2 linked regions of the Caenorhabditis elegans genome follow. The protein of the gene in region 2 interacts with the protein of the main gene of each other region in a pairwise test. Each region holds a gene or a part of one and is shown on either strand. Other genes may lie near its edges. The genes, in order: ahcy-1 and trp-2.

The links.
Region 1: the proteins of trp-2 (region 2) and ahcy-1 interact in a two-hybrid assay, tested with the Caenorhabditis elegans proteins (one large-scale study listed by BioGRID).

The regions. Positions count from the first base shown.
Region 1 is NC_003279.8:6,834,311-6,838,640, reverse strand, and holds ahcy-1 (Adenosylhomocysteinase), read right to left. Parts: upstream 2,173-4,330; 5' UTR 2,157-2,172; coding exon 1,935-2,156; intron 1,867-1,934; coding exon 1,111-1,866; intron 1,043-1,110; coding exon 707-1,042; 3' UTR 501-706; downstream 1-500. Other genes in the region: dpf-3 (Dipeptidyl Peptidase Four (IV) family), read right to left, coding at 1-67, 114-287; teg-4 (Splicing factor 3B subunit 3), read right to left, coding at 4,239-4,283. UniProt on the Caenorhabditis elegans protein: Adenosylhomocysteine is a competitive inhibitor of S-adenosyl-L-methionine-dependent methyl transferase reactions; therefore adenosylhomocysteinase may play a key role in the control of methylations via regulation of the intracellular concentration of adenosylhomocysteine.
Region 2 is NC_003281.10:989,817-995,063, reverse strand, and holds the start of trp-2 (Transient receptor ion channel domain-containing protein), read right to left. Parts: upstream 3,184-5,247; coding exon 2,972-3,183; intron 2,178-2,971; coding exon 2,105-2,177; intron 1,735-2,104; coding exon 1,636-1,734; intron 1,015-1,635; coding exon 670-1,014; intron 64-669; coding exon 1-63.

The sequences.
Region 1 (4,330 bases), on a different chromosome or scaffold from region 2:
TGAGACGATCTTTTTCTGCACGCATGAGGCTAATTTTTGTGAATCCTTGTGTTGTCATGCCGCGCACCTGAATCAGTTTATCGAAATAATATTTTTTAAATCATTTTTCGAACCTCCGTCTTCCAACTTCTTGCATGATCTATTAATTGACTGAATGAACGAGTCTCAAATCTTGCCGGCTCATTTTCCCTCATTTTCGTGTGGGTAAGTTGTTTTAGTACTGAAAAATCAATAAATGGGGAAACATTTTGCAGGTTATAGAGAAACTGATAAAAATTGAACATCATGGGAATTTCTGTAAATATAAAAAGTGAAACACGAAATGAGTGAAGCGTTGAGAGAAATAAAGAACTTATTTATCAATAGAGCGCCCTTCACCCCGACAAATTTAAAATTTGTTTTTCCCTGCTTGAAATTTCCCGGGCGTAGATCTGAAAATTCGATAAACTCACGCCTAATCAAACGTTTTCAGAATAATTTCTCAAACAATCGTCAAAGTTACTCCATAAAACATTTATGTCCAAAAGACAAACAACAGAACCAAATCAACGAGTTGAAGAAAAACGACTAAATCAGGCGATTATGTATTTGGGGGAAAAGCGGGTAGATGGGGAACAATACAACCAGTTCAAGATCATATGAAGTTTGAGGGCAATACAATTTAAAACAGTTAAAAAAATATCCGTATGGGGTAGAACCAACAAAATTAATATCTGTAGTGGTCTGGCTTGTATGGTCCGGCAACTGGAACTCCAAGGTATGAAGCTTGCTCGTCGGAAAGCTTAGTAAGCTTAACTCCCAATTGAGCCAAGTGAAGATAAGCGACCTCCTCGTCAAGGGTTTTTGGAAGAACGTAGAGTCCGAGCTTGTATTCTTGTGGAGTTCCGAACTTGGTCCAGAGCTCAACTTGAGCGAGAACTTGGTTGGTGAAGGAGTTGGACATGACGAAAGATGGATGTCCGGTGGCACATCCAAGGTTGACAAGACGTCCTTCGGCAAGGAGGATGACGTGACGTCCGTTCTTGAGGGTGTAACGGTCAACCTGAAAAAAGTTGGTTCAAACTTCTATCGATGATTGTGAATTCATCCTAATTCTGAACATTTTCTTACCTGTGGCTTGATGGTGTCCTTCTTGGTGGCATTGGTGTTGAGCCATTTGACGTCAATCTCGCAATCGAAGTGACCAACGTTGCAGACGATAGCGTCATTTGGAAGAAGCTCGAAGTGCTTTCCGGTAACGATGTCCTTGCATCCAGTGGTGGTGACAATGATGTTAGCCTTTGGTGCAGCCTCCTCGAGGGTGGTCACTTCGTATCCTTCCATAGCGGCTTGAAGAGCATTGATTGGATCGATCTCGGTGACAATGACACGGGAACCGAAAGCCTTGAGGGAAGCAGCAGATCCCTTTCCGACATCTCCGTATCCAGCGACAACGGCTACCTTTCCGGCGAGCATAACATCAGTGGCGCGCTTGATTCCGTCTGGGAGAGACTCGCGGATTCCGTACAAGTTGTCGAACTTGGACTTGGTGACAGAGTCGTTGACGTTGATAGCTGGAACCTTAAGGTCTCCCTTGGCGAGCATCTTAGCCAAGTTGTGGACTCCAGTGGTGGTCTCCTCGGAAAGTCCGCGGATTCCAGCGAGGTATTGTGGGTACTTGGCGTGAACCAAGTTGGTAAGATCACCTCCATCATCAAGGATCATGTTGAGTGGTTGTCCATCCTTGAAGACGATAGTTTGCTCAATGCACCATTCGTATTCCTCGTCGGTCTCTCCCTTCCAGGCGTAGACTGGGACTCCGGTCTGGGCAATGGCGGCAGCAGCGTGATCTTGGGTGGAGAAGATGTTGCAGGAAGACCATTGGACCTGGAAAAAGTTTCGATTTTTCAAACCAACTTATTTTAATACTAATTCTTTCAAAAAACAAGATTTACCTCAGCTCCGAGAGCAGTAAGAGTCTCAATGAGAACAGCGGTTTGGATGGTCATGTGGAGACATCCGGCGATTCTAGCTCCCTTCAATGGCTGGGATGGTCCGTACTTGGAGCGCATAGCCATAAGTCCTGGCATCTCATTCTCAGCAAGGATGATCTCCTTGCGTCCGAAATCGGCGAGCTTGATATCAGCGACCTTGTAAGCTGGCTTAGACTGGGCCATTGCGAATGTGTTTTACCTGAAATAATTAGAAATTTATTTTAATCTGCAGGACGGATAGGGAAGAGAAGCGAAGAAGTCCATAAGACGGAAATAAAGAAAAAAAATGAGACACTTTTTTGAAAGTTCGGCTGTGAAAAGGATAAAACAAGAGTTTGTGAAGAAAAAAAAACTGATTGTGAGAAGGTTATTTTCCAATTTATAAGTTGTTTTTGTTTATCAGAGAATCGAAAATAAACAAAAACAACCTTGGCTTACGTGGATTGCCAAAACATCAATTTTTAAATGGAAAAAAACAATAATCCATGTGTAAATAAGTAAACCCGAAAATACGGAAGATAGTTAGTGGACGAGAACTTTTTTAGGTTTTAGAGTTTAATATGTGGGAAAATCTATTAAATCTGGAACCATGACGAAGAAATTTACAACTAGTCGGTCTTTTAAACATAAAACAAAGCGAGGAACTTTGCAAAAACTTTTCCCAAAAAGAAAGCTTTTTCGAAATTTCTACTGTTTCGATCAAAGGCGCAGTGATTTTTCTCAGTGGGTCCCGCCACGAAGGCCTAAAATTTGGACTTACTCGCCGCGAAACGATGATTTTTATTTGAAAATTACTAAAGAAAATTTAAGAAAAAAACGTATTGACACATGAGGTGAGATATGCATCCTGCGATGCTCGTCAACCGTCAAGACAGCGTTATTTATGGAGAATTGGCGATAAAATCTTGATAGCCTTGTAAAATGTAAGATTACTTTGGCCGATAGCTTTGGTAAAGTGACCTTCCTGAATTCCACACCACCGCAGATTTCTTTGAAGATTCTGTACGACCTAGAAAAGGATATCACGTTTCAGATTAAATTTTAGGATTCGTCGATGATAGATTTCCCCCACTTTCCTCTTGTTCTAGAATGATTCAGTACCTTTTCAGTCTGAAAGGGAAAAATCACTTTCTTTTTTTTTTGCTAGCCCGTATTCCTACGGCGTTATTTCTGGCCCAACGGCGGCCTTTTATAGCACCCAAATGCCTGTGCCACATCAGTCTCCGCCCACTTTTCGTCGTGGATGTGCTGCGTCTCTCATTCTCCGCTTCTGTGTACTTTTCTATGTTAGATGTGCAGGAATGATAAGAGCTTGAGAGAAAGCAGAGAAAGAGGAAAGCGAGGGAAATTCAAAAATTAATTTTCTATTTTTGACACATTTTTTACAATGTGGCGCCTCAATTTGGATAATGTAATTTTTCATGCAAGACGTCGACCGGGACAGTTTCAAAATTTCTAAGTGATATGTTCTGAAATATAACTGTGTTCTGAAATATAATTTTGCTCATTACAATTAAAACTAAAATTTTCTTTGCAAATCTCGTTAAATTCTAGAAGAATCTATTAGAGATCTATGTATCTCTTACTTTCTATCATCCAAGGTCACTTCTTATCGTAGTTCTTTTTTCGAAATGCCCTCCGCCGCCAATTTCGTAGACAATTAGGTTTCGCTTATCAATTTTGCAAAGTTCAGGTGGTTTTAATGTCTAATAGAATTCTATAAACTTTTTAATGTTTTAATCTCCTAGAATAGACTTCATTTAATTTTCCAAATAAAATTTCTTTTGGTTTTTCCAAAATCCTCGAATGCTGAGAATCCGGTGCAGTTTCTCTGAGATATCTATTTCCCGGAAAATGATTTTTGTAATTTAGTATCGGAAATTTTGGCAAGGCGAATTTTTCTAGACCCACTTCGACCGTATACCTCATCTGGAATTCCAGACAGCTGATCAGCTACACATCACGCCATTCACAATGTCTCATATTTTATGTTTCTTCTCTTATCTCAATGATTATATCATGGTGATCTTGTTAACAATCGGCGCACGAGAAACAAAAAAGGAGTAAAAGAATATTAGTGAAAGGTAAAAAGGAGAGATTTCCTGAAAAAATCTTTTAAGAAAGTTATTTAACAATTTATAATTTTAGGATGGGAATAGGTTGGGACGGGAGGAAACGAAGATCAAATGAGAGAATCAGGAGAAAAAACATTTAAAAATGAAATAAAAATGTAGAAATTCAACAAATAAAAATAAATAAATTATGTTAAAAGGCGTAGCGAGTGCGAATGTCTTCCAACTTCTTTGAGATCTGAAAATTAATTTAATTTAGGCTATAATATGGAAATTTTTTGTAGT
Region 2 (5,247 bases):
CTTGGAGCCCCGCACCTGGTCCAACATGTGAACGCAGAATTTTTGGCACTTTTGGGAGAGCTCCTGGAGTTTAATTTTAGATTTGAGCAAATATTAATTTAAAATTTGAATTAAGCACTATGAGAGCTTTCAGAAAAGTATATTCATGCCTAGGTTCTGCATGTTTTCAGAAATTTTTTAAAAGTTTTGGGTCCCACCACGAAAACTCTTGGGGTACTGTATCTAGTACGAAAAATGTTTTTGGTAGTATTTTTATCACAAAATCTAGAAAATCTCTTTCAATTTACACTAAACTGCGGAAAATGCACAAAACTGGCGGAGTTAGCGATTTTTAAATTTTAGAAAAAAATTTTTTTTTTGAATTTTAAAAAATTTTCAAAAATTCATAACCTTGTTAGTTTTGAAGATTTTTAGCTAATTTTTCGAGAAAAAAAATAGACGGAAGCTTAAGTTTTATGGGAAAAATGCAAAAAATGACACAAAAACAGTATCTCACTATTTTTGAGACTAAAAAAAATTGAAAAAAAAAACTCAAAAAAAAAATTTTTTTTTGGTTTTTTCCCAAAATTTTAGAAAAGTTTCCAACTGAAACCTATACTAATTTAAGCTTTTCTGAAAGCTCTTCTTATGCTCTATCCTATTAAAAAACTGTTTCCCCTCCCAACTCACCTCATAATCTGTGCGGAACTCATTTTCAATAAAACTCAACCGCTTGAGCTCCCAGCTCAGCTCGAAAGCGTACAAAATCGGGTCTCGAGCGGAAAGACAGATGAGCGACGGGCTTGTAAGTGCTCTATAGGCATTTATCCGTGACCTAGAAAGTCGCAGAGAATCCTCTTCCCTTGCCACGTAGCACTCGGGGCAGGAGCATCTGACGTCATGGGGGTGGGGTACCGTACCCTTCTTGTCCAAAAACAGCTTTATGCACTCGTAATTGTCTTTGTGAGCTGCTAACACTATTGGTGTGATGTCTGGAGTAAATGCTGAGTGCTCTGTGATCTCCACTCCTTGGCGCTGAAATTTCAGAAAATTTCAAATTTTCAAAAAAAAATGTTTTTTTTTTGAAAGTACAATTTTTAACCAATTTTTTGAACTTTTAACAAAAATGTTATAATATTTGCACTGGGCTAACTGAGAGCTTTCAAATGACCCCCATCATGTCCAGGTTCCGCCAACTTTGAAATTTTGGGTCCCGCCACGCGGGTTACGGTAGCTATGTTTCAGCTGTGTCAAGACATGAAAATGGCGTAAACTAGGCATGATGGGGGTCATTTTGAAGCTTAAAATGTGAAAAATTCAAAATTTCAATTTGAGAGATTTTCTAAAAAAAACATTTTGTGAAAATTAAAAAAAAATTTTTTTTCGAAAATTCGTACCTTTTTCAGTTTTCGGTTAATTTTCCTGAAACCTATCTCAAAATTAACCCAGTTATCTGAATTTGTTATAAAAGTTAATCCAAAATGAAAAGTTCGCTTCCTACAGTACCCCGAGACTTTTTCCCGACGGGACCCAATTTTTTTCCCGAAAAATTAAAAATTCTCAGAACCCAGTCATGATTATACTTTTCTGAAAGCTCTCAGTGCGCTGAAACTAAATTTTACGTTAAATTTCATATAAAAAATTCGAAAAAAGTACCTCCGAGTCAAATTTGTCCATTTTTTCCAGGTGCTCCACTATGATCTCCACCGCCTCCACGTTTTCCTCTCCAATTGCGTAGAGAATTGCGTCGCCGGTCTGAAATTGTAAAATTTTTGGAAATTAAACAAAAAATGAGTTAAAAATTTAGATTTTCGAAGTAGAACAATTTTTTTGAAAAAAAAAACATTTAAATCTGTGAAAAACAATTTTTTTTTGCCCAGATTTTCAATTTGGCTTCTGTTGCAGAAATTGTTTTTGTGACATACAATAATAAATTTCAAAACAAATAATTAAGGGCTTCGAAAAAAATTCAAAAAAAAATTCCAAAAAAAAAATTCCAAAAAAAAAATTCCAAATAAAATTTTCAAAAAAAAATTTTTTTTTCCAGAATTTCTCACTTTAGGCTTATTTTTCGAGCACATTTTAAAAATGCTTTTTTTCTTTAAAAAAGTGTGCAAAACGAAACCTCAATATTGTGGTCCAATAGTAACTCGATCATCTCGATGTTCTCGTTTTCAATTGCGATGAGAAGCGCGTTTCTGCAACCGGGAGGGGGAATAAGATATAAACCGGAACTCGCGGAGCCCGTAAAAATTCAAGTGTACTATGCTATAAAATATATTTTATTCGGGGAAAGAAAAGTTTAAAAAATGTTGAAAAAAAATTTTTCAAAAATTTATTAGTTTCAAAATTTTCTCGAAAAAATATTAGAGCTATTGCATTTTATTTATAAAACTCGAATTTACAACGCTTTCAGCTTTTAAATGACCCCCATCATGCCTAAGTTTCGTCAATTTTGAAATTTTCGGGTTTCGCGACGCGGGGTACTGTAGCTCTGATTTCAGCTGTGTCGGAACTTAAAATTGACGTAAACAAGGCATGTTGGATGTAATTTGAAAGCTTTTTGTATCGTAAATGCAAATAAATATATGAGAAAATTTAAAAAGTTCGAGAAAATTTTCCTCAAAAAACAAAAATTTTTTCTTTTTTCCTCAAATTTTGCAAAATTTTCCATTTTTCAAGCTAATTTCAAAAAATTTAAATTATCGACGTTTTCAGCTTTTAAATGACCCCCATCATGCCTTAGTTTAATCAATTTTGAAAGTTTTGGGTCTCGCCACGCGGGGTAGTATAGCTATGGTTTCAGCTGTGTCGAATTTCAAAATTGACAAATCATAGGCATGATGAGGCTTATTTGAAAGCTCTCGGGGTGCTGAATTCAAATTTTTATTTTCAAGAAAGAAATTGTAGAAATTGTAAAGAAATTTGCAACATTTCGAAAAAAAAAATTTTTTTTCAAAAATTTAATTTTTTCAAACTTTATCAAACCTACCTGCCAAGCGGATCCAAACAATTTATATTAAAAGTTTCCGTTGAAATTCCAGCCAAAAGCTTCCTAACACTCCCAATATCTCCCCGCTCGCAGGAGAGCAGGAACTGCTTCTCGCGGAGCCGCGAGTTGTCCGACTCGGTCCACGTGACATTGTTGCTGACGTCATCGTCATCTTCAATCATCCGAAACTCGGATGCTTCTGATGATGTCATTTTGGCTGGAAAATGGAAGGGTTTAGGGAAAATTTGCGATGTTTTGGGACGAAATTTGAAAAAAATTAAAAAACAAAGAAATTCCGAATTTTTTTAAAATTTACCGCTAAAATTAAGGGCATCAGAAAACCACGTATTTTATGAAAAAATTTTAAAATTGGAGGGAATTACAAAAAAAAAAGAAAAAGTGTCATAAAATATCTGAAATCTGACACTTTTTAGAGCACAATATTTTTATTTTCTCCAGATCGCCTGACGGAAAAATGTATTTTAGTTAGGGACGTTTTTGATTTGAAAAATATTTCAAAAAGATAATACACTAAAATTTAATACTGAAAAAATTGTATTAAATTTTTTTTGGATAACATTTTTTAAATAACATTTTTTTTCAATCCTCCAAAATTTTTTTAACCGATTTTCAAATCTTTAAAGAAGTTTATTTATTAATTTCAGAACGACAATAGCTTCAAAATGACCCCCATATTGCCTATACTCCTTTGATTTCGAGAATTTGGGTCCCGCCACGCGGGGTACTGTAGCTGTGGTTTCAGCTGTGTCGGAGCTTAAAATTGACGGAAACTAGGCATGATGGGTGTCATTTTGAAGCTAAAATAAAAAAGTTCAAAAACTGATACGGAAAAAAACCTACAATTAAGTGGGTGTTTAAAAAATATTCAAAAAATATTCAAAAAAAAAATTTTTGAAGAAATTTATATTTTCTCCACAATTTATTAATTTTTGGTTTTTTTTTTAAATTTGAATTTATATTATTTACATTTGTGATATCGAGTGCTTTAAAATAACCCCCAATACGCCTATATTCCATCGATTTTTATAATTTGGGTCTCACCACGATGGGTACTGTAGCTGTGGTTTCAACTGTGTCGGAACTCAAAATTAACGGGAACTAGGCATGATGGGTGTTATTTTGAAGCCAGGAAAATGAGAAATTCGAAAAATAGGGAATAAAGCTGCAAAAATACGAATTAAAAAAATTTGCAGCAAAACATTTTAAAAAAATTTTTAATAAATTTTCGACACAATTTTTTTTCTAAAAACCCTATTACTAAAACCAGAAAACACTTTAAGCTTCACAAGCTCCGCCGAGAGCATAATAATGCGCGTTTTAAAACACACATCTCTCTCCCGGAGACGCTCATAATTTTTGCGCTTTTTCCATCACTTTTCCGCAAAGTTTAACAGCAATTATGTGTAGTTTTTGACTTTGACAGGAAAAATTGTTGGAAATAATTGAAATGAGATCAAAAAGTTATTAAAAGTTATTAAAAAATTGTTGAATTTTTTTGTCCTATTTTTTTCCGAAAAAAAAAAGATTTTTCCAAAAATTCTTTAAAAAATTAAGTTTATAAAAATGAGATTATAAAAATCAAGTTAAGATTTTTTCTAGCTTTCAAATGACCCCCATCATGCCTGGGTTCCGTTAGTTTTAAAATTTTGGGTCTCGCCACGCGTGGTACGGTAGCTCTGATTTCAGCTGTGTCGGAACCCAAAGTGATCGGAAAATAGGCATGATGGGGGTCATTTTGAAGCTGAAAATGTAAGGAAGTCAAAAATTTTTATGAAAATGCTCACTATCAGGAACCAACACTTCACACAAAGTTTTCAAAAAACGATTTTTCAGAAAAAAACAAAAAGAAAAGATTTTTCCCCAATTTTTTAAAAATTGTTTAATTTTCTAGATTTGAAACTAAAATTTCTATGATTAGGACATTGTAAGCTTTCAAATGACCCCCAACAAGCCTATATTCCGTCAATTTAAAAAATTTTGGGTCTCGCCACGCGGGGTACGGTAGCTATGCTTTCAGCTGTGTCGGAACTCAAAATTGACGGAATATATAAGCTGAAAATGTAAGAAATTCAAAAAATTTCCCAGGACTCCAAGACTCTTCCATAAAACCAAATAATGAAAAATGTTTCATTAGGAGGGGTCTTAAGCCATCATGATTGGGGGACGACGATGGGATTCTGGAGCAAAAAGGGGGTGAAAAAGAACAAAAATTGAGAAATAGACGAGAGCAGCACAGGAGCAGCAGCAGCTTGTGC